3 linked regions of the Styela clava genome follow. The main gene of each other region encodes a partner of the protein of the gene in region 2 in a complex. Links are inferred from orthologs where the notes say so. Each region holds a gene or a part of one and is shown on either strand. Other genes may lie near its edges. The genes, in order: integrator complex subunit 4-like, integrator complex subunit 9-like and integrator complex subunit 11-like.

What was found.
Region 1: the proteins of integrator complex subunit 9-like (region 2) and integrator complex subunit 4-like are in contact, whole or in part, in a cryo-EM structure (PDB 7SN8), measured with the Drosophila melanogaster proteins. The link is inferred for Styela clava from reciprocal best matches to the Drosophila melanogaster genes IntS9 and IntS4. Residues at the interface, in NP_648838.3 of Drosophila melanogaster: Arg2, Arg23, Met88, Lys90, Met91, Asp93, Glu96, Asp98, Arg173, Lys176, Asp203, Leu205, Gly206, Gly500, Glu501, Ile502, Arg504, Val544, Lys545, Asp546; in NP_572488.1 of Drosophila melanogaster: Arg105, Leu108, Val112, Thr115, Asp116, Asp147, Thr148, Ser149, Lys153, Glu156, Gln193, Met196, Arg200, His231, Lys234, Gln264, Asp265, Ser266, Arg269, Tyr302.
Region 3: the proteins of integrator complex subunit 9-like (region 2) and integrator complex subunit 11-like are in contact, whole or in part, in a cryo-EM structure (PDB 7SN8), measured with the Drosophila melanogaster proteins. The link is inferred for Styela clava from reciprocal best matches to the Drosophila melanogaster genes IntS9 and IntS11. Residues at the interface, in NP_648838.3 of Drosophila melanogaster: Glu128, Tyr198, Asp199, Glu200, Lys201, His230, Asp333, Ser334, Ala337, Tyr338, Asn340, Ile341, Glu344, Gln351, Val354, Tyr355, Leu356, Pro357, Asp358, Asp359, Pro360, Arg509, Lys510, Leu511, Asp512, Arg513, Ile514, Tyr515, Ile516, Ser518; in NP_651721.1 of Drosophila melanogaster: His94, Lys97, Ala98, Pro135, Thr137, His139, Gln140, Ser141, Glu149, Lys151, Lys274, Thr277, Tyr278, Lys280, Met281, Phe282, Ile283, Thr284, Trp285, Phe294, Val295, His296, Val450, Lys451, Ile452, Pro453, Val454, Asp455, Ala456, Ser457.

The regions. Positions count from the first base shown.
Region 1 is NC_135259.1:15,384,537-15,392,985, forward strand, and holds the start of integrator complex subunit 4-like, read left to right. Parts: upstream 1-4,901; 5' UTR 4,902-4,980; coding exon 4,981-5,089; intron 5,090-5,324; coding exon 5,325-7,948; intron 7,949-8,294; coding exon 8,295-8,449. UniProt on the Drosophila melanogaster protein: Component of the integrator complex, a multiprotein complex that terminates RNA polymerase II (Pol II) transcription in the promoter-proximal region of genes.
Region 2 is NC_135251.1:23,509,803-23,518,913, reverse strand, and holds integrator complex subunit 9-like, read right to left. Parts: upstream 3,330-9,111; 5' UTR 2,932-3,329; coding exon 967-2,931; 3' UTR 647-966; downstream 1-646. UniProt on the Drosophila melanogaster protein: Component of the integrator complex, a multiprotein complex that terminates RNA polymerase II (Pol II) transcription in the promoter-proximal region of genes.
Region 3 is NC_135252.1:16,274,410-16,282,300, forward strand, and holds integrator complex subunit 11-like, read right to left. Parts: upstream 3,694-7,891; 5' UTR 3,612-3,693; coding exon 1,737-3,611; 3' UTR 1,382-1,736; downstream 1-1,381. UniProt on the Drosophila melanogaster protein: RNA endonuclease component of the integrator complex, a multiprotein complex that terminates RNA polymerase II (Pol II) transcription in the promoter-proximal region of genes.

The sequences.
Region 1 (8,449 bases), on a different chromosome or scaffold from region 2:
GCAGCATGTTTTGACTTGGCTATATATAATACCAAAATAGCGTGTATTCACAGTTTTATAAACAATGTCGACGTAACAAATTTAAGATGGATTTGTATTTCAACTGAAGCTGCTGGAAAATTGATCAAATATATTTTTCTCCTTGTCACAAATGAATACTGTACGTTTATTAAACTAAGAATTAATTGGGAAAGTTTAAAATATAAAAAAAAAACATTTTACGCTTTCTATAATGGGTTCTTTTCTGAATTCCGAAAAATAATCGTTTTTGAAAGGGCGATTTCTCGAAAACCGCCAATAAAGTCAGCACTACGACACATTCGGAAAAAAGCAAACACCTTTTAGATTCGACTTCACTATACCATAACAGTAGCAGCACGTTTTGACTTGGCCATTTATAATACCAAACATAGCGTATATCTCAATTATTTGAATAGCGTAGATGTTCACATATTTTAAAAAGGTTTGGTATTTCAAATAAACTCACCTAATATCGTAATATTACGTTTTCTTACTTTTTCAAACACCGACACTGTGTGTTAATTAAACTTGGAATAAGATGCAAATTGTATAAAATAGTGAAAAATGTCTTAGAACCTATATATAATTTTTTTCAATTTCCCAAACATGCCGTTTTTGGAGTGACGAATTCTCGGAAAATAGCCAATAAAGGCAGCAATACGACACTTTTGGAGAATAGCAGATACGTTAAAGATTCGATTTCACCAAACCAGAACAGTAGCAGCACGTTTTGATTTGGCCATATTTAATACTAAACAAAGCATATAATTTTCAATTATATCAACTATGTAGATGTAACATATTTAAAAACGGTTAAGTATTTCAACTAAATTTACTGGATAATTCATCAAACACTTTTTTCTCTTGGTCATACATCAAAACTGTACGTTCATTAAACTTGGAATTAGTGTGCAAATCTTAAAATGCCAAAAAATGATTTGACGCCCTCTAGTGGATCCTTTTCGGAATTTCGAAAAATTATCGTTTTTGAAAGGGCGATTTCTCAAAAACCTCCAATAAAGGCAGCACTACGACACATTCCGAGAAAAGCAGATACCTTATAGATTCGATTTTAATATGTCAGAACAGTAGCAGCACGTTTTGACTTGGCCATATATAATACCAAACATAGCGTATAATTTTTAATTTTATCAACTATGTAGATGTAACATATTTGAAAACGGTTAGGTATTTCAACTTAATTTACTGGATAATTCATCAAACACTTTTTTCTCTTGGTCATACATCAAAACTGTATGTTCATTAAACTTGGAATAAGACGGCGAATCCTAAAATAACAAAAAATGATTTGACGCCCTCTTGTGTTTTTTTTTTTGAAGTTTTGAAAAAATATCGTTTTTAAAAGGGCGATTTCTCAAAAACCGCCAATAAAGGCAGCACTACAACACATTCGGAGAAAAGAAAATACCATATAGATTCCATTTCATTATGTCAGAACAACAGCAGCACGATTTTACTTGGCCATATATAATACCAAATATAACGTGTATTCACAATTTTATAAACAATGTACACGTAACATATTGTAAAAAGATTTTGTATTTTAACTAAATTTACTGGATAATTCATCAAACATCTTTTTTTTTTGAACGTACATCAATAATGAACGTTCATTAAACTTGGAATAGGTTGGAATAATATAAACTAATTTACGAGCTCTAAGTCAATATTTTCATTAAAATATAAAACCACGAATCGGTTACAAGTAATGATGGATCATTTTAGCCTGTCCCTAGTCAATCGCTGTCATTCCAGAACGCACTTTTTCATTGCAATCAAACTTAAGCTCATCGGAAGACACGATAACGATTAAAACACTTCATCCAAACCTATTTTTTTGAAACACGGCGAGAAACTTACAAATAACTTGCGAAATTGCGAAAGAAGGCAATGTTCACAACCATGCTTGAATGTCTATCTAAGAGAACAAGGTGTATCAGCGAATGTAAAAATAAATGCAAAAAAGAAGGGAAATTTACGATATGTTTGGTATTACGTATGGCAGAGTCAATCGTGCAGCTACTGTTCTAGTACAGTGAAATGGAATTCAAAATGTATTTGTTTTTTTCCGAATGTGTCGTAGTGCTGCCTTTATTGGCGGTTTTCGAGAAATCGCCCTTTTAAAAACGATATTTTTTCAAATTATGAAAAGAATCCACAAGGATGCGTAAAATAATTTTTTGTTGTTTTATACTTTCCGCAACTTATTCCAAGTTCAATTAAAGTACAGTATTGATTTAGGACCAGGAGAAAAATATATTCGATTATTTATCGAGTAAATTTAGTTGAAATACCAAACCGTTTTCAAATATGTTACGTCTGCATTGTTTATAAAAGTTTGAATACACGCTATGTTTGGTATTATATATGGCCAAGTCAAAACGTGCTGCTACAGTTCTGACATAATGGAATCAAATCTATAAGGTATATGCTTTTCTCAGAATGTGTCGTAATGCTGCCTTTATTGGCGGTTTTCAAGAATTCGTCACTCCATAAACGGTATGTTTAGGAAATTGAAAAAAATATATAATAGGGCGTAAGACATTTTATGTGGTTTTATACAATTCACAACTTATTCCAAGTTTAATTAACGTGCAGTATTGATGTATGACCAAGAGAAAAAAGTGTTTGATGAATTACCAGTAAATCTAGTTGAAATACCTAACCGTTTTTGAATATGTTACATCTACATGATTGATAAAATTAAAAATTATACGCTATGTTTGGTATTATTTATGGCCAACTCAAAACGTGCTGCTACTGTTCTGACTTTGAAATTTTGAAAATAATCCACAAAAGGACGTAAAATGCTTTTTGGTATTTTATACTTTCCGCAACTTATTCCAAGTTTAATGAACGTATGGTATATATGTATGTCCAAGAGAAAAAGATGTTTGATAAATTATCTAGAAAATTTATTTGAAATACCAAACCGTTTTTGAATAATGTTAAGTCTGCATTGTTTATAAAAGTTTGAATACACGCTATGTTTGGTATTATATATGGCCAAGTCAAAACGTGCTGCTACTGTTTTGACATAATGAAATCAAATCTATAAGGTATTTGCTTTGCTCCGAATGTGTCGTAGTGCTGCCTTTATTGGCGGTTTTTGAGAAATCGTCCTTTTCAAAAACGATAATTTTTCGAAATTCCGAAAAGAATCCACAAGAGGGCGTCAAATCATTTTTTGGCATTTTAAGATTTGCACACTAATTCCAAGTTTAATGAACGTACAGTTTTGTTGTATACCCAAGAGAAGAAAGTATTTGATGAATTTTCCAGTAAATTTAGTTGAAATACCAAACCGTTTTTAAATATGTCACATCTACAATATTTAATAAAATTGAAAGTATACGCTATGTTTGGAATTATATATGGCCAAGTCAAAACGTGCTGCTACTGTTCTGACATATTAAAATCGAATCTATAAGGTATCTGCTTTTCTCCAAATGTGTCGTAATGCTGCCTCTATTGGCGGTTTTCGAGAAATCGCTATTTCAATAACAATAATTTTTTGAAATTTTGAAAATAATCCACAAAAGGACGTAAAATGCTTTTTGGTATTTTATACTTTCCGCAACTTATTCCAAGTTTAATGAACGTACAATATATATGTATGTCCAAGAAAAAAAGATGTTTGATAATTTATCTAGTAAATTTAGTTGAAATACCAAACGTTTTTTGAATATGTTACGTCTGCATTGTTTATAACTTTTTGAATACACGCTATGTTTGGTATTATATATGGCAAAGTCAAAACATGCTGCTACTGTTCTGACATAATGAAATCAAATCTATAAGATATCTGCTTTTCTCCGAATGTGTCGTAGTGCTGCCTTTATTGGCGGTTTTTGAGAAATCGCCCTTTCAAAAACGATATTTTTTTGAAATTCCGAAAAAAATCCACAAGAGGGCGTAAAATCATTTTTTGTTATTTTTAGATTTGCCACTTATTCCAAGTTTATTGAACGTACAGTTGTGATATATGGCCAAGAGAAAAAAGTATTTGATGAATTATCCAGTAAATTTAGTTGAAATACCAAACCGTTTTTAAATATGTTACATCTACATAGTTAATAAAATTGAAAATTATATGCTATGTTTGGTATCATGTATTGCCAAGTTAAAACGTGCTGCTACTGTTCTGACATATTAAAATCGAATCTATAGGGTATATGCTTTTCTTCGAATGTGTCGTAGTGCTGCCTTTAGTGGCGGTTTTTGAGAAATCGCCCTTTCAAAAACGGTAATTTTGTGAAATTTATTAAAGAATCCACAAGAGGGCGTAATTTTTTTTCGGTATTTCAGACTTTCCTCAACTTATTCTAAGTTTAATGAAGTGCATTATTGTTGTGTGACAAAGAGAAAAATATTTTCTTTGATGAACTATCCAGTAAATTTAGTTGAAATACAAAATCAGTTTCAAATTTGTTATATATACATTGTTTTAAAAATTGAAGAATATACGCTATGTTTAGTATTATATATGGTCAAGTCAAAACGTGCTGAGACTGTTCTGACATATTGAAATCGAATCTTTGGGGTTTCTACTTTTCACCAATGGTGTTGCAATGCTGCCTTTATTGGAGGTTTTCATGAAACGACCATGTTACACGACGAAAATTCAGTCATTTTTAAACATCTCTCAAAGAATTATAAAAAAATTTTGTGCACTGTAACAGTCGCTTTAGCTTGTTTACTATATATTAACAATACGAGGAGTGTAATTAATGATTGTTTTGCTTTAATTGCTATTGTGAAACTAATCAAAATATACACTTTCTTTTAAAAATCATTGGGAACATTTATTTTCACGCGTGGGTATTTTCTGCGATTCTGTCAGTCACAATTTCGTGTTTTGCTGCTAGCTTCACAGAGGTGAAAATTTGTGGTAATCGATCTTGTTCGTTCTGAGTACGGATCGAGAGATTTGTACACATGAAAATGGCGGTTCATCTTAAAAAGAGGGCTTGTGAAGAATTCAGCCATGTTATCCAAAGCGACCTTAGCACACCAAAACGGCTACGTCTAATTAAAAAAAGTTCAAGTGAGTGTTAGGTTAAAACACTGAAAACATGTAAAATATTCCCGTATAAAATTGGATTTTTTTGTTCGGATTTTTCATATGTTTTAAATTAATTTACACATGACGGTAAAATAAATTTAATACCGTACTTCATTCCAGTGCTGGCTAATTGAATATCTATATTGATATATCACCTGTTTGTTTCAGTTCATATTGAAAAACAAACTTAACCATTAACTTCGTCATTTGTTTTTAGATTCAACAGAAAAACAGACAATTGTAAAAGTCAAAGATTCTGACAGCTCAAAAGAAAAACTTCAATCCCTTATTCAGTTCTCAAAAAAGCTTCCAATACCTCCTAATCAGGTACGGCAGAATGTTCTCGAGCTACTAAAACTTTTTGCAAATGAGAAAGATTCATCTGTTCGAACAAAGATTGCTTGGTTGATAGGGAATTTGTGTCAAACAGCAAGATTTAATGCTCTGAGCACACTGAAAAGTATTATTTCACTCCTTAAATCTGAAAAATCGAGCCAAGTATTGTCACAACTTTGGTCTGTTCTCACTAATTGCGCTAAAATTCTCCCGAATGAACGAGAACTACATGAAACCCTTGTTGAACTTGCTTGCAAAACATTGCTTAGCAAAAACCATAAAGTTCGAAGCGAGTGTCTTATACTGATCGGTAACCTCGGAAAAATTGAGAAATCGACTGAACCATGTAGGCCTAGTAGTAAAAGCAATAAAGTGAACATACAAACACTTCTTGGAGATTTCTTTGGAGATCAAGAACCAAGAGTACGATGTAGTGCATTACAAGCAATGATATTGCTCCATCAAAGAAGACAAAACTTAGAACTTCATGTGTATAATCAAGCTTGCTCAGCTCTTTCTGATGACTATGAAGCTGTGAGAGTTGCTGCTTTAAAACTTGTCTGGATAATGAGCAACATATACCCAGAAAGTGAGGTATCTGTTTCAATGTCAGATGAAAAACTACGACTTGTAGATGATGCTTTTGTAAAACTGTGTGACATGGTGAATGACAGTTCATATAAAGTCAGAGCGGCTGCTGCTGGACTTCTAGGTTCCATGCACCTAGTTAGTAATTCATTTCTTTTTCAAACTCTGGACAAAAAATTGATGTCGGATTTAAAAAAGAAAAAATCACTAAACGAAAAAGCAAAAGAGGCATATGTGGGTGAATTCTCTTCTGGTGCTAAATGGGCGGATGATGCTCCCAAAGAAGTAGATACGGAAGCTAACCAGCTTATAATTGGAGGAGCTTGTGGTGCCTTTGTTCACAGCCTCGAAGACGAAATGTTAGAAGTACGAACTGCTGCTGTTGATTCTCTTACAGAGCTTGCATGTCATCGTATCAATTCAAAATTTCCTCAAGCAGCTTTGGATTTTCTTGTTGATTGTCTTAATGATGAAATTGAAGCCGTAAGATTGAATGCAGTCAATTCTTTACATAAGATCATGCAGAATGTTGCTCTTCTTGAAGACCAATTGGAAAACGTATTAGCGGGAATGGAAGATTTCTGTGTTGAAATAAGAGAAGGAATACATTTACTGCTAAGTAATTGTACCTTGACATCAAAATTCTGTCTTAATGATACAATTATGAAGTTGCTCAAAAATCTCAATAAATATCCACAGGACCGAATGTCTATCTGGAAAGCTTATAAACACATAGGGAAGCATCATAGCCAATTGGTGTATTTGCTTGTTCCGCATTTACTATCATGCCATCCTTACTTTGATATGCCTGAACCAAAGATGGACGACCCAGGTTATATTGGCGTTCTTATTCTTGTTTTTAATGCAGCGGAATTATGTCCGAAAATGACGCAAATATTCCCAGAGCATGTTGTAAGGCATTATCAGTATCTTCGTGACAGTATACCTGATTTAGTACCGCAAGAAATTAAACTAACAACTTTTGCAAATGGAGATGAATCGTGTATGAATTCCCCACCTCGACGGTCTGAAGGTGCATCAGATCCTGCAGAATTTTTAAACAAAGCACTACAACGTGTTAAAAATCTACAACTTCATGACAGCAGGACACAAAAAAGCCTTCTCACTTGTACCATCAATGATTTGAAACACATTTCTAACATTGCGCCAAAGCTTTCATCGACTGCTACCAGCTCAGCAAATTTTTTGCAAGCACAACTACTTCTGTCAGAAATAGTTGATACCAGGGCGTGGTCTGGATCTGCATTGGCTTGCACTCAACATTTAGAATCCACAAGACCGGCTGCTAGAAAAATTGAGAGACTAACACAAGAACTAGAGCATTTGTTTCTTGGTCTGAGTACGGACGAAATTGCTCTTCTCAGGCAGATGTGCCTGAAAGCACAATCATTGGAGTTCCTAATGGATATGCAGAACCTAATGAATCAAAAAGATGTGTCAACGTCTTCTCTTTCACTGAGATGCCAGAAATTCTTTAACACTATAAAAGATGTTCATCAGTATTTGGAAACGCACAATCATATACCTGATTCATTTTCAAAAACACTTTTCAACGAAGTCTTAAAGTTGGATCCAACGAAAAAATATTCATTAGTTGTCAAGTTGCTTCAACCATTGTTATTACATTACAGTGTATCTAATGTCACTTTCTCCAACAAAGTTCGGGAGTCAAAGGTCGTAGTTCATACTCCTCTTTCTCGGACAGATTCCAGTATATCCTTTTCAGCAGGATTAACTACTGCTCTAGATGTGGATGCTACTTCAACAAATATCCCAAACCCATTGCGTGATGTGAGAATACAGATTAAATATCCAGATTCAACTGTTCAAATGGTTCTGTTAAAACCACAGGATATCAAACAAATATCTGCAATGGAGCATCGAATAATTACTAAGGTGAATTCTTTGACTAATTACTATTTACAGCATGCTAATTGTATTTAATATTCAAGGGGTGAGTAGGGACAGAATACCACATAATTCATTATAAAAATGTAATTTGTGAGCTATAAATATGATTTTTGAGTATGCAAAATCATGATTTAAGTTAGTAAATTTTCCATAGTGAAGTTATGCTTATGGCACTTTACACAATTTTGATTTTCACAGATTTATTAAGGATTTTACATGAAACACATGGCGGAATAGCTATTTAAATAAATATTGGAATCCTAAATTGGGAGATAGTAATGTGATAGTGTCTTTACATTTTTTCCGTTCACTTAAGAAATCTTAATTGCAGGTGTTTATCAGCCATCAGCAATGGACAGATGCTTGTCTTATCAAGATGCAATTTGTTAAAGTATTCAACACTGGAAGATCCCATGAAGAAGGATCTAACATTGGAATTCTCCCATTGTCAAAGACTGTTGAAATCTTGTTGCATCCTAAACCCAC
Region 2 (9,111 bases):
TATCGGTCCCATCAGGACCCCATAGAGCAGGGGGTCAGGAACCTTTTTGGTTAAGAGAGCCATAAAAAGTACATATATTTTCAATTGCATTTCCGTGCGAACCATAAATGCATTTCTTAACTTAATCAGGCCTGAAATTTTTACTCAAAAGTCAACACATATATGTCAATATACATTTAATGTGACTTCTGATGCTGCATGCCTTGAACGGCTGTTCACATGCAGCACAAGTTGAAATCTACGATACTCATCTCCCTTCTTTCGTTCAGGCATCTCCGTAGTATTTTAAAACACTAGCTTTACTAGTCCGATCTGTATATGACAAATACTGTACAACCAGTACGTACAAAAAGCTTTCTCTATTGCTCCGCAACTCTATCGCTTTGTGAGGTCACAAAATATGTTCCAGAATCCCCTAGTTTCGTCAAAATGCCTATCTGGTGATTCTCTTACATAACATAGACATGCGCTGGAAGCGCCGTTTCAAACGTATTGGCAATTTTTCTGCCAAATGTGGCTATAAAAGAGTTCGAAATCTCGTAACAATAGTAAGCATAGCATAAGAATATTAGATTCTTCTGGGAGCCATATGCCGTCACTAAAGGAGCCATAGGTTCCCGACCCCTGCCATAGAGATATTTCAAAATAAAATTTCACATATTCGATGTTTTGAAAAACTGAAAATTTAAAATGGATTTCTCATTAGATTGTGGAAAAGGGCCTTTTATTCCAGAACAACAACAAGAATTTAGCAACACTATTCATTTCCACTTCCTGTCCCATCATAAATACCAGCAGAATGGTACTGAATCAGCGATTTGGTTTAAGCAAATATTGAGATGAAGTTGGCCTTTTCTTAAACAATTTAGTAAGATGTGCTGAAATGGATGACTGCTGGCACAAAATGCAGAAACATAAAATACTTTTTAAAAATTACAATCGTGTAAAATTATTTTTATTTTTGATTCACAATCCAGACAAGCTTCTTAGTAAAATATCCCTCAATTTTATTCTCAACGATTCATTTCCTTCGCACACAATATGAGTTGAATCTTCGTCAATTTGAATAATTGTGTCTCGAAGAAGAATCATATGACCAGAAGATGTATCCTCCACTTTAGCATTTGTGTAGCCTTCTTTAATCAAATTGTCAAGCAGATTATCAACATGAAGTTTTCCCCACATAAGAGGTCGGTGTAAAGCACTTACTTCCTGAAATTTTCTTTTTTTGCTTCCTGGAGTTGGCTTGGTGACTAGTTTTAACTTATGCTTATTGTCTTTGACTACAAGTTCACCTGATAATGCGGCAAGCATTACTCCAGGTCTAACTTCAGCAGGTAATAATGTCGCTGACAAATCAGCAGAAAGCTGAACCTTTTCAAATTGTCTTTTGACATCAATTGGTAAAACTGATTTTCTGTCCATGCAAAGCAGAGGTTGGTTCAACTGAAGACAGAGATCAGTTCTATGGGGATGCAAAACAGGTGGTTTTGTATAACTTGTCGGCACAATAACATGTTTTGCTTTTAAATCATTTAATATTAAATTTGCTGCCGATGGATTTGTTCGAGTATCAATTTCAAAATGATACGCTTTCATTTGGAGGGGTTGAAATGGAGCCAAAACTTCTAGATATGGAAAATTTGGTTCAACAAATATGACAGAGTTAGTTGCTGAATTTTTCCACATTTCTATAAAATGTACAGCATCGCCAAATCGTAGTGATGGATGGCCAGCAAAGACAATACATGGCTTTTTGAAAGATGCAGACAGACCTTCATGGATACTAGAAAAAACCTTAAGTTTGCCCATTGCAATCAGTTCATCATGTGGAAATGGTGGTTCAGGTAAGTATACTTTATTTTGCTTGTTTGGATGAAGCCATTCAGAATAAACCTGTGAAAATGCCAATGAGTCTTTAGCGACAGGTGATATAAAATATATTGGAATGTTTGTTAAACCAGCTTGGTCTAAATAAGCAAGAAGGCATTCAAGTAAATCATAAACAAGACCAGATGGAAAACATGGAACCAAGACATTACCACCAGCTTTCAGCGTTACAGCTAAACAACTACAAAATTCACTTATCATATTATCTGGATTATTTGTGGGCATTCTACTTAATCCAGTAAATATTAAAGCATCACTGTTCCTCAATGGTGTAATATCCATCGGCTGCGGATGTGTTGTTAAAGACGAGCTATCAGACATGTATACTATCTTTTCATAGTCTGAATTTATACACCAGTTACAGCTTCCAATCGCAAATCCAGAACTGTACGCGCTTATTGTTAAACTTCCAAATATGCTGATTTTTTCTGCATAACCAACAACATGCACCCTTGAAAGTGCATTGTGTAAATCATTTTCATTGTAACACTGTCTCCATGAAAGAACATCGTTATTCCAAACATCTCTCAATGATGTAGGTAGGTTGTTTTCTAAATCCTCATTTTTCCATTTTGTTGCTTGGGACGTTGGTGATAATCGATGACAGTATTGCACCATTTCTTTCATGAACAAACGTCCGATTTGGTGTGAAGGATCCGTTGCATATACAGCACCTTGAAATCCGCAATATTCAGTTAGGTATGGTACAGCAAGCATATTGAAGTAATTTGAAACTAAAATGACATCAACTGTTGACAGGTCCAAAAGATCAATTTCAGGAATACAAAACTCAGGGCTACTGTCAACAAACACTGAACCCGAGCATTCTTTCAGTTCATTATCAGTAATAACTTGCCCATCCGAGTCTCGTAGCACCCATTTTGACAAATGCTTTCCACTGGTTCTCTCAGTAGATCCACAAGGTAAAAACTTCAGAGAAGATAATAAATCCAAGGAGCAGTCGAGCATAATAGTGCAAGACTTGAACTTCAGCACAATGCATGGGCATGTATCACTTGGTGATAGATTATAAACCCGCATTATAGCATTCAGTTCACAGCCAATATCACCAATTTGTGTATAAATTATCACAGTATTATTTTAATTCAATGGTCCGATTGACCTATTTGTGTAGTGTGATAGCTACTTGACAAGAAGAAAAGGAACACTTTAGGCAGTTTAGGTAAAATGTAACAATTGGTGACAAGAAGAAAAGGAACACTTTAGGCAGTTTAGGTAAAATGTAACAATTGGAAACAACTTCATTCAATCATTTGGTTACAGTATGGTACCATAAAAGCATACTCGTACTGCTGTATTGTACAGGTTAATTTTGTGTTCATGCTTGGTCTATTTTCTGATTTCAGTCAACACTCAAACTATGGCTTGGCAGTGTGGCTTATCGTCAGAAATTGCTGAGCGTTATCAATACGTGAGGTCGTGGTTCGCCATATGATTAAGTAGGCTTACCATATTTCTGAAACAAAAAACCGGGACGAAGCGGATAGGACAAGCCAACTTTGGTTTGATTCTAGGGGTTTAGTAATACTCTGAATGTTTACCATACCATTGTGGGCTTATTATAGGGACCAAAATTAGCTGTGAATTATATTGAAAAATCCTCTATTGGTCTTCGGAAAATTGTTCAACTCATTAGAAAACTTGCACTTTGTTTTCGACATTTTGATGATTCAACGACAGTACACTTGGGCGTTATATTAACGCATGGTTCATACGTCATGTCATAACAATTTTCTCTCTATCTGAACTAGTGAGTGAGACGCAAATCAGTGGTAAATCGGCTGCGTCCGTTGAAAAAAAAGCAATTTTGTAATAGTATCAAATAGAAAAATTATTTATGACTGTCATACTGCAAAACCGGGACATTTGAGTCTATCGCCGGGACGGTGGAAAAACACGATAAAACCGGGACTGTCCCGGCTAAACCGGGACGTATGGTAAGCCTATGATTAAGCTGAACAACCTACCGTAACCCCAGAACCGTGTGGTACAGCGAGTGTCCCACTTACATCAGTACATCCTGACATCTGTGCACTGCCAAACATCAACACTTCAAAATGTGCAATGTCCTAATAATTTCAGAATTATCACCTGTGGCTAGTCATTCAATCTGCACGTCATTACAGCATTAGTACATTACAAAATTAACTTTTGCGAAAAAATAGTCCCTGCAATCCTGCATAGTCTGATATTGCAGTACTGTACCGGTATAAGTTTACTTTGATTTCCCCGAAAAAAAATATTCCGGCTGACCGTAAGTTATACAAAACAATGAACACACAAAAGTTTGGAAAAATTGGTTGGATACTGGTATCAAAATTTTAGAACATGTTCCCCTGAACCAAAGTACGAAAACTTTGCGCTTCTGTCTAAATCAGTGTTTCCCAAACTATTTTTTACCCGCGCCCCATGTTAACTTTTTAACTAGCAAACGCCCCTCTGACAAAAAAGTCAAAGCAACTTTATTCTCCATTTATCATTAGTATATATAATGTGAAGGTTGAGCCTAGTGAAATGCCACTAGATTGATATTATCTAGCATCATTTCAGTTAAATAAAGTCTTATGTCTCCTCGCCTGACACTGTCGAGGGAAGCTCTCTTGATATGTAAAAGTGCGGTCACTGCAATAAATACACGCTCTACCAGGAATGAGCTGGCAAGAGCAATAAAAAAACTTTCAACCCGATCGCACACATGAGGATATTTAAATTTGATTCTGTTCCAAAAAAGATGGAATACTGAAAGACTGAACATGGATTTGAAAGTATAAATCCAATGGTAGTGGTGCATGTTCGCTTCTGGAAATTCAGAGTTATCTAGAAAATGTAAACCAAAAATTTCTATCTCCAAAAAAATTATTTAATTTTATTTGCGCTTGAACTTCTGTTTGCGTATGATTTTCTCAGATGTTTCGCAAAATTTTCAACCACTCAGTTTTCTGCTGAAGCGCAGGACATGCAATGGAAATTAAAGCGTTCAAACGGTGAATACAGAACATTACGTGGTTGTACCGAGAAAACTCTGGGACATCACTTGAGGGATTGATGGAGGTGACCAGCAGTGTTTCCAACATAACGAGGCGACGTCCTATACATCAAATCAGACGCTTGCTTTCCTGAGAGAGAAGTCAGCAATGACATACAGTGGGCATCTTAATTATCGGACTGAAACCTCTCAGATTTTGATATGTTTTAATATTTGTCGAGGGACAATTTGTATCAGGACAATCCTCAAACGAGTGGTTAACTCAAGGCTTCAATAGCAGAAATAAATAGAGAGATACCCAAAGTAGAGTGATTGACAATGTTGCAAAAAGAATGCAATTCTTATTTCAATGCCGAGGAGGGCATTTGAAACATATTCTAGAAACAACATAATTTTTGTGCAAAACGCCCTAGATTTTCCGACACTTTTGGGTACAAACAGTAGTTCAAGTGTAGACAAATTTGAATAATTCACTCCATTTTCGTAGAAGTAATTGAGAAATAGATGGTACCGTTTTTTTTTGGGACCACGATGTACAGATGTATAATACTGTTTTTGATATAAATCAGTTAAATATGCTGCTTAAATCACTATATTCGTTATTTTGAACTTACGCAACACAAATGATAAACCGACAATAAACAATGTCAAGCACAACATGATTTAACAGCAAGCTAGATCTTTACCGTTTGTCAATTTATGTATTAATTATGTAACCTTATTATTCAATGACTCAACAAATAAAAATGAACCAGTTAAGTCGCAACATGGAGACGGACGAGACGGTCCTACCGGTATCTGATGCTCAGCTCTCACGTCTTGCTCCTAACAAACCCAAAATTATAACATAAGGGTGTTGTACTTACACTACCGCTTCAAAACACCATAGAACCAGTGATGTGATTCAGCCGGTTCTATAGAACCGTCTCACGGAATTTTATGAGATCAGCGAACCGGTTAGCATTACTGGTTACTGTCAATGTTCTGTTTGTAACAGAACCGGCTGAAAAATATGTCTTTTGTGCAGGAACCGGCTGACAAAAAGTTTGAATCCCACCCTTGCCTAGTACCCGATAGTAAAATGAAGCTGTTATTCAAAACAGTACAACGAAACGCGCAGTGCATGGTGAAGAAAGCGTACCGGTATGCCGTAGCGGTAGACTAGTATTATTACGAAACAATACGGATTTAATATTCTACGTAAAGCGAGAAATTTCCAACACCGAAATCACAAGCAAACTAGTTTGAACCATAGCATAGTAAATTATATATAATATCACCCTTTTTGTGAGTTCCCCTATTGATGTCAGCGCCCCGAATCGCCCTGTTTGACATCCAGCGCCCCTCAATTGTCTAAATCGCCATCAGCGCCCCCCAAGTTATTGCAAACGAACACAAGGGAGCGTTTCGCCCACTTTGGGAATCGCTGGTCTAAATGGTTTCCAGCAAGTTGTAAGACAATCGTTATATTATTACTGTACATTAAGAACACTGGTCACACTCACGCGTTCCTTGTGTTGTGTACCATACTATACCACATTCGCCGCCACAAGATTTTATTAGACTACGGGTGGGCAAGGTTTTAGATAAGGGGACAAAAATTTTGCCCATTGAACCGGCGGGCCATGTAAGTGTGACGTATAAAAGTTATATTTAATGAACGGAATTTTATTTACAGTGCTACAAAGGCAAAAGTGGAAAACAATAAGCCTCGTGTAACAACTAAATCTAATCGCAATCTCAACAAATTCCTTGAATTTATTTTTAGCTAAAACATCAAAATTTGGTTGTGGCATTTGTCAAAACAGTTTTAAGGTGAGTATCTATTGATAATTTTGTTTAGATTTGTTGTAATTAATCAGACTGAACATCTGTTCACTAACTCGTGTGGGCAAACATTAGATTTTATTGATTCAGCTATCAATTTACACGGATAAGGCTGCAGAAAAGGGATGAAGAAAAAGGCTATTAAAAACCTTCGGGAAAAGATAGACTAATAAATTACATGGTAAGAATGTAGCGCAGGCAGAATTGAATGAAAGCAGAAGTTTATGAGAGCACCAGGCGGATTGAATCACTCAACGGGCCAAATTCGGCAGGCAGGCCGTCGTTTGCCTATGTCAGTATTAAACAGATTCAATTTGGTGCCGCCACAAGTATCCGGTTACATATTTCCTGGCCTATCGTTTTTAGCTTGTACAACCATTAGAGTTGACAACTATACTTCCAAATCGACAGGACATCTGTTAGCGTTCTAATAAGCGGTCGAAAATATTTTGCACCTCACAAAACCGTGCACAAAGACCGCAGTCATTGCTACAGGACGTCGGGACTGCACAGGAGACAAACCCTGCCACTTACCCAGCTAACCTTCGAAGAAAGGGCCGTGATTTGACAGGGAGCGTACTCAGGAAAGATTCTTTGTTCATACAGCGGTCAGTGTATAACGTGAGAAGCTCGGGACAAAACTCCCCATATTTGTCACAATTGACAGCAAAGCCCACAATAGGGTAGTCTCCGAACAAGGCCTTAGACAAGCAATCATGTTGTTACCAATTAAGGCAAGCCTCCAAGCATTCGTGCTTCCTTCGTTGAAAGCAATAGACAAGCATTCTGTGCTATCTTCAAACAATTAGGACGTTGGAAAAGCATTTGTTTGTCTCCAAACATGGCCTCGAACAAGCATTCATTTTGTCTCCAAACGATACCATGAGCAAGAATTCATGAAGTATTCTGAAAATATGGGCGTTTTAGCTATAATATCAAAATTATAGGCAATTTCACAATTACTTGTTTGAAGATATTAAATTTTGGACAGACGCGTGATGATAGTTCACAAGCAAATTTATCATGATTAGTTTGTCGTGATGGCCTGGCTATAGTTTGACAAAGAAAGTGGACACTATCATTGATGTTACACAACAAGCTGTTGTCGTCGGATATTATAACGTCATAAATCGTCTTTACCTGATTATGCATGTAAATTAGCGCGCTCATGACATGCAGAAGCAACAACCGATGAATGATGCTCAAATAACATATTACATCTACTTTCCACTTATATAAATTTATATATATAATTATATAGTTATAATTCACTTATCATATCACACACTAACAAAATGCAAAGTGTGCAATGGTATGGCCTCTCCTCCAGTTAGCGGTCCATGCCGGGTATGGATTAGTTAGGTAGACAGTTACTTGTTTTAGGAAGCATGAACTTGATGGTGGAGAAAGCTGTAACTGACCAGCGGTTACGTGAACCACCCTACGACGGCGAGGAGCAGCTATACTCTCGCACATCACTATCCCCGCATGGAATTCGAACCTGTGAACCCACGCGTAGTAATCAGAGGTTGGATGGTGAGCGTATTCCTAACGCCTAGCACGATGCGCCAAATCGCCGAGCACACTTTAACAAAATCCAGCGAACACTGGAGATGTCAAACACACTGCCGTGTAAGTACAAAAATGGTTTGGCCGTGTATTTATATCGTGTTACCGACCCTATCGATTTTAATAAGTTGGCCTAGTGTATAAGTGACATTTTTAATTCTTTTTTCAGTTTTATATTCTTTAAATTTATTGCATTGCCTTTTGGTCTAGATTTTTATCCTTTGCGTCATCAACCATGCTAGGGAAATTTTACACATACCATCTTTATAGTCATAAACAACAGGAGTCGATCCTGGAAGTATGATATCGAAACTTCGTCACATCGTTAATACTGTTTTTGATATTACGTTTTATTGACGTTGATTCTCATGAAAAACATTGTAATGTGTCAATTGGTAAATATTGAAGCAATAAACGAATTTAATATTTTGATCCATCAGAACTTGACGTCTTGAACTCAGCGTGAAAACCTGCACTAAAAATATTATGAGGAACGAGATTCTTGTGCCGTACATTTCTGAGATATGTAATTTGCTAAATTACCTGACTGGGCTGCAGTACGAAGTAATTTCGATGTGTGAAAAATATATTGATAGTAGTATTAGGGGGACGATTCACACCAATCGCAACCTGGTAAATGGAATCCACGTTGTTGCTGAATCCACTTAGCAACACAATTATTCTAGCCATGAAATATATGTATAGTAGAAGAAGAGATACAGAAAGGTATTTAAATATTGGATCAATCGCCTTCCAATATAAGAAAATTGTTATTTTCAAGAAAAGATATTAAGAATAATGATATAATTACATCCGGA
Region 3 (7,891 bases), on a different chromosome or scaffold from region 2:
TCAAAAATTTTATTTTTATTATGGAAAATATGACTGTGGGTCATAGAAATTCAATGGGTACCAGCACCAGCACTAATATGAAACTTGCTGTGTTGCATCTTTTCCGCAAGTCTTATACTTATACCGTCGGATGGTATTGTGTAGTATTGAGCTTTACATAGCAGCACTATCTTAAAGAGGCAATTTCAGGTACGCAATATTACTAAATTCATGCGCGAAAACACGTACTGCATATAAATTATATGAAAACGTTCATAATACGTTTCACAATACGGAAATTTTATGAAATGAAATCAAAAAAATAACAATGATAATTTTTAATCGACTTCAACCGCATTAAAATCACTGCCATCCAAATTCATTGTTACTACAAATTTATGCGGTAGTTAATTCAGGTCTTTTGTTTTTAAAACGGCGGATTAAATAAACTGCGAAGCAGCATTGTTGTCAGCAGATACACGCTGGAACCACTATTTTTCGCCTATTGTCAGATTGAATTAACGCTTCCATAGATTTTTATGACTAATATGTTACTATGTTTCTTGCATTAATTCGCGCGCGAGTTGGCGGGTCACCTGCTGGTTTAAAACCATTAATATCTTGCATAGTTGGCCTGTGTGGATTACCCCAATTATGTTTCATTCAGAAAATTGCGTACAACATTTTATTGATCCTTCACATGTTTCATCTAAAGAGGCTTCTGGCACACGTGAGAGGATTGGATCGAAGGAGTTTCATTGTTTCGGGAGGATATTTTGCTTTGTATATGAATGAACGTGAGAGGACTGGATCGGAGGAGTTTTAATGTTTCGGGAAAATATTTTGCCTCGTATATGAGTGAAACGTGAGAGGATTGGATAGAAAACTTTCATTGTTTCGAGACATTTTGCTTTGTATATAATAGGTACCGTATAAGTTTATTTCGACTGCGTAATCAGCATAACAGACGATAAAATAGTAGATAAAACAAATAAATAATGCGGGTATCGCTGCAAACATTTGACTTATTTAGTATTATCGCAATGCAATTGCGGACACATTATGATCATCTATTCTTAAGAGTGTTACTTGCGCGTAACAGAAGCTGATGAGCATGAAAATAGGCCAAAGGATTTATGCATCGAAAAAGGTCGAGAACCGCTGCCTATTTTATCTCGGAGATCAGTGATTCTTTGTTTAGCATAAAAAGATTTTCCAGTACTTGGACATTTTCGGCGCATGAGATAGAACCAAAATAAAGTGACATAAAACTTGGTACCGGTACTGATATTATTAAATCACAGGATATCCAATCAGTTCTTTAATATGCTCCCAACCAACTCCAAGCTTGCCCCAGAAAGTTTTAAAGGATGAACACTTGAAAGATTTGACAACCCATTATTGTGTTTATTATATTGATAAAAAAGAAAGTAACAAATGCACGGAATATGCACAAAGCAGTGTGTACACAAGATGTAGCAGGGTTAATAGAGTAAGCTTTCTAAACCTATAAAACAATTGTGCTCAACAGATTCTGCATTATGGCGCAACTGCCTCATTCAAGTTTAGCTTTGACTAGAGTACTAGCCAGATGTATGTGTAAACTGTAAATACTTCTTGAGATGCACAAAACTGGTGAAATAATGGACCTGATTTTAAGAAAAACTCGGATTATGCAAGTTCTCTAGTATTTGAAATTATATCAATATGGCCATATGATTTTGGTCTTGATTTAGTGAAAAGATTGAACAAGTACGTCAGTGAACAGGAAGTTTTGTCACTGATTTTGGCAAACCATTTTTCAAAACCTCCATTAAATAACTTCCCAAATCCTCATCTTGATATGGCCATGAAACCAATATTGATTTACTTGCTGGACTGTCATCTTCATGGGTATTAAAATCATCCGACACATCCATAGCTGTTTCTGAATCTTTTTGAACTTTAAGTAAAACTGATTCAATCAATATATGTCCATCTGATGTGGTATTAACAGAATGTGACCTCAACAACTGCTTTAAATGTTCATATAATCGAGTCATTGTTAGTTTTTCAGAACGGCAAGCATTTTGTAATTCCACTGTTGATGTGAATCGTAAATCATGTTTTGGCAGTCCAAGTTCTTGTAATGCTTCATCTTGTTCTAAAAGTCTTATTTTATTGTCTTTCATTAGCAACGCTCCATGTATAATTTTAGAACATTTTGGGTTCGGAGTTGCAGTATCAACAATTTCAGTTTTGTGTTTGAGGAGTTTTAAAGACATGTCAACTGGTACACATGGCTTTGATGAGATGACACAGGTCTCCCCATTTGCTGGATTAAAGCACTCCAATCCTAATTCATGATTTATTTTTGCTTTTAAAAATTCCATTTTCTTTGCTTCACCATGAACCAACAACACATGCTCTGGTTCACACATACGAGTTAGCTGCATTATCCCTTTAGCATCAGCGTGTGCACTAAACGACATATATTGTACCTGCATTTTGATTTCAACCACCTTACCAGGTTGCAACTCGATTTTCCTCATACCAGAAAGGATTTTGTGGCCTACAGTACCTGCAACACAATAACCAGGCATTATGATGGTATTTTTGTCACTAGTACACCATTTTTTAAAAATTTCAAGAGACAATCCACTATGGAGCATTCCCGGGGTTGCAAAAACAACCATGGGACCTGGATTTTCAATGAGTGTTCTGTTGAATGGCTTGATATGTTTGAAATCGAACAAGTTTCTATCCACAAAAGTACTTTTTATCTTTTGATTTGTCCAAGTTATGAAAAGCTTGTAATAATTTGTTGCTTTTTCAGTTAAACCTGTTGAAAAATATATTGGAACTCTCAAATTCATGCGATCCCAGTATGACTCTAGTAAAATACAAAGTTCTTGTGCTCTTCCAAGAGCAAAAACAGGGATCAATACTTTTCCACCCTTATCAATTGTTTCATGCACTTTCTTCAGAAAATCCCTTTCTCGACATCGTTTCGAATCTCGTATAGTTGTTGCATACGTTGATTCAGTAATAAGCAGGGTTGGCCGGCATTTATCTACCCATGCTGCTCCAAGATGCCTATCAGGGGTCATATTATAATCTCCTGTGTATAAAACAGATTCAGTTCCAGCACGAATGTAGAACATTCCTGCTCCTAATACATGCCCTGCATAATACGCCTTAATCTGGAGTTCTTCGTCAACATATATGGTTTGATGCAGATTTGCCGTAACTACCTTTTTCATACAATCTTTGATCATTTGTGAGGTGAAAAAATTAACTTCACCTTTTTTATCAACAGTTATTTTTCTGTAGTCTTCCAAAAGGATTGGAGCTATTGCTTTTGTAGGATGGGTCATGTAGATTGGTCCATCATAGCCAACCATTTCAGACATGTATGGTAATGCACCACAGTGGTCCAAATGAAAATGGCTTATAATAACGCAGTCAATATACTCGGTTAATCGTCCCTTTCCACCAGTGACATATGAAAAGTCAGGAAACCTTCGATCATCGTTAAATCCCATGTGCATTCCACAATCTAACATCACATTTTTTCCACCAAGGGATATCAATATGCAACTGCGGCCAACATCCTGGCCTGCACCAAGGGGTACAACTTTTATGTCAGGCATTACTGCGTTACCAATTCAGCAATTATCAAAAGGCATATCTAAATGTATTAAACCATAGGATAGCTGCCAAATTTAAAACGTTGATATGTTAGGTCTGTAGGTGCTATAACTAACTGTACAAGTCTGCAAGTGGACTTGATGGCTTCCTCCACCATCAAGGTTGTGGTTTGCCATATGATTGAGGCATATTATGGGCTCACAGAAATACAAACTTTTTTCAAGTTGTTAAATTAATAAGTTCAGAAGTTAGCACTTCCATACAACTAGACTACGAAATTAAAATACAAAAATGAAAAAAACTATTGAAGTGATAAGTATAAGTATGGGTTTATTTCGACTCCATAATCAGCAAAACAATAAAATGAGTGCTAAAAATAAATAAATAAAAACTGATTATGAAATCAGGAGAGCGAACAACACCTTAGATAAGGTTTAAAACGTACAGAATGTATATAAGATGGAAGGTTTTGCCAAGAAGATGTGGTACGTGTTCACTCACCTAAAATAATTGAAATATTTCACACACGCTTACACGCAACCATATAGAAGTTATTAAGTAAAGGGAACATGAAAAATTACATACTGGTAGTTAATAAAAAATAAATAAATAAAAATTACTTGCCACACCATATTAATAAATTTATCATGATTGCCACTGCCAAATTGATCAATTTTATAAATGGGAGTGAACAGTAAAGATAAACTTTTATAAAAAAATATATTGTCAAGCTGATTATAGATGGAGTCAAATGCCAAAATGCCCAACCAAAGTTGCCAGAATTGGGTGCATGAAGAGGTGGGCTAGACCACTTCATTGCCCAAACTAGAGCCTATTATTGCCAAAAATAATTTTGAAAATGAAATTTTTTTAACTGAATGGGTTGGGGAACTGGGACTAATTTTTGGATGGCGTATTCAGGTGGGGGTTAGGATTGATACGAAAAAAAAAATTCGTATGCTACGCCCTCTAGAAGTACGTTAGGCACGAAACTACATTAGACTCCGACCGAACTTGGCCTACCAATATGATGTGAATTGGATTCACCCGTTCCTTCAATGGATGTCTGTTCGACCTTTGACACCCAAATTTTAGTAGATTTTGGCAAATTTTTGGTATACCTTTTCTCGAGATGGCGCTTGCAAACTTAGAATACTATTCACATATTTATCCTGCGGGAGAGAAAAACCGATTAAACGGCCTAATCATATGATCCTCGACGGCCTCCACGGGTACTAGTCCAGGGTATGAAATTAGTTAGTTTAGCGGTTCCCAACATTTTGTTCATGCAACGCCAAATTATCAGGGAAAACCTGAGAAAAAAATTGCTACTTTCAAATAAAATTCAATTTTGTGATCATCGTTGTGTATTTTATGTCTTTTAAAGTTTGTAAACATGTAGTCCATGTATGACTTCAGCAGCATTCAAAATCCCAATATATGCTTTGGAAAAAATCTTCGATAAGTTCTTTACACTTCACTCTTAGTCTTTTTCTTACAAAGAGAGAGAGATTTATTGTTTCGTCAACCAGAAAACAAGCATTGGTACAACAAAATATGCAAGTTAATTCGGTATGGACTGGTGGAAGCGATGCGCACTTAGGGTCATCAGAGTCAGCTCCCCCAAAATTCACCATTAAGATTCACAGTTAAAAGCGGTTAAAGCGTAGTAGTATATATTCACGGTTAAATCAAACGCTAGTATACCCTAGCCCAGCGTTTCCCAAACTGTGTTCCGCGGAACACTAGTGTTCCGCGACGCGAGGGTCTTCCGAGTGTTCCGCGACGCGAGGGTCTTCCGAGTGTTCCGCGGAAAAGCGATACAAATTACGACTAAATTGGTCGCCATAGCGATCACAGGATCCTGAAGAAGCCGTTCAATATCGCGTCACCGCCGGCCTGAAGCGGACTAACGTTTTAAGGGGAGAGCCATTTTCGTGAACCGTCGGCCTAGCTTTTTGATTGTCAAGTTCATTATCAAATTTACAGCAATCTTTTTGGTTTTGCTATAGGTAAACATGTAAGCTTAAAGAATAAAGGCAAAAGGGTCAAATGTTCCTTCTCCCTCTCTGCCTGGTTTTACTTTGAAATGCTCATATTAAACAAGATAGCTATGCTCAAATATATGGACACGTAGCGCCACCCAATGGCAATAACTTTGATGACGTCATAGCAAAAAAAAAAGTAATAGCCTTCTGGAGAAAAATTTTATCTTCAACCACTGAAAATTTCAAAGCAATTGGTCCAGTATTCGAAGAGAAAAGCGACTTTTTAAAAACGTGTCAAAGAACAACATCAACATAATATTGAAACGATCGTTATGTCCACTACGTGTCCAATAACTGATTTATTGATTAATATATTTTTAAAATAGGAAAAAATAAACATTTATGGTAAATGCTATGTTAAATATTCAATCATACTGTATTAATGTTTAATACAATTCTGTTAGTTTTCGCGGCGCATTTAGCAACACTAGTTCTCCTGGCGCAACCTTTGGGAACCGCTGCCTTACACCATTTTTCTTTATCAATTTTACACTTTCATTTTTCGGTGTTCCGCGAGACGAGATGAAAAGTGTGAGTGTTCCGTGGCCGAAAAAGTTTGGGAAACGCTGCCCTAGCCTACCATACGGTGCTAATTTTGGAAGTTTTATAAATTTGCGAAAGTAGTGGGTTAATAATATGGTCAACGTATCAGTCAAAAGCGAACAAAAACGACCACAAAACATTAGCCAAGATGTCTTATCGGAATCGCTCCCCCATTTACCTGTATTTGGCCTTATTTTATTGCCTTAAGTATTTTGCGTAGCGATCTCAATATCATTGCATGGCCTGGTTCCGTAGTTCCAGAGCCGTGCATATAAATATAACTAAAGAGCGCTCCATAAGTGCGTGTACCAATATGGAGGTAACTAATATTGTTCGCCTACTCTATAGACTTTATAGACTATAGGTTATTGCATTTTTATTATATAAGGCAAAAACAATTGTTTCCACTTATATCTATTGTATAATCGCCTAAACCAGGGGTTCTCAAACTTTTGGTGTTGCGGAGCCCCTGAAAAGGTTGACTATTATTCGCGGAGCCCCAAAAGAAATGTTAAAATTGTAGCTTTCCGATAAATATTCCTGAGTAAGTTAAAAGTACTTAACTTAAATTAAATGCTAAACCTTTTTAATGGGGTTAATGCAAGTCATAAATAAATCGAAATTTCAAAGATAAATTATATATACTCTTACTAAAGCTGTAAATTTGACACTTGACAAACATATTAATAAACTAGGGGTCGAATCTTTTCCCTTTTGACATTTTCGGAAGACTTAAAAAGGCCCGTAATAACGTGCGCGATTGCATTTTGTTACAATCACCGATAGTTTTTGTCAGCATGGCATGTTTTTAAACATCTTTACGCCGGTGTTTATTCTCCCTAAATCAAAAATTTTCTTCGCCATATACATGTATTTTTCCACAATGACGACGATAATTGCTTTTTTGTTCTCGTGGGGAATTATGAGTTCAATGTGAAAAACGCTTTTATAGGCATTGTAAATCACAAAATTTGGTGTAATGTTAGGTTTTCTTTTGGGTATTCATCGTATAGTAACTGCGAAATCGAAACACAGTCAATTGTGTGCGCGATTTACCTTTTTTTATTCTGAAACTACCGACGGAGCCGCATGCATTTGAAATAAATTTCAATCGTATTTTGCCCAGATCTTGTGATTTTTTAAACGGCGATATCTTGCTTAATAATAATCTCGAGTGCAAAAGAACAAATCAAGTTTGACAAATTCCAAGATCGCAAAAATACGACTCCAATTTATTTATAGTTGGCAGTTTATCACGTCTTTTATGTTATTTTAGAATAGTATTCTTTCATTTTAGTAATCCTAATAGTAATCTCGAATGAAACTTGAGTAACTATGAGTACAATTGAATTATTACGACAAGACACTTTAAATGCTCGCATCGGCCATGCATTGAATATTTTACGCAACAGAAATCTCGTTATCCGTTTTTTATAATCGCAAAGAATGTTGCGCGCAAATCCCCACCTCTTGAGAATCCTGGCTGCGCTCCAGCTTATAAATAATGTCATTTTTTAATTCCGCCTCTTTGCCATATTTCGAGGCTATATTGTTGTCAAATTTTATCAAAGCTGTTATTGCTTCTTTGAACAGCTACAAAACTAGTCATTATTTTGAAAAGTAATCGAATAGCTCGCGGAGCCCCTGGGTTTCTCTCGCGGAGCCCTGGGGCTCCGTACGGAGCACTTTGA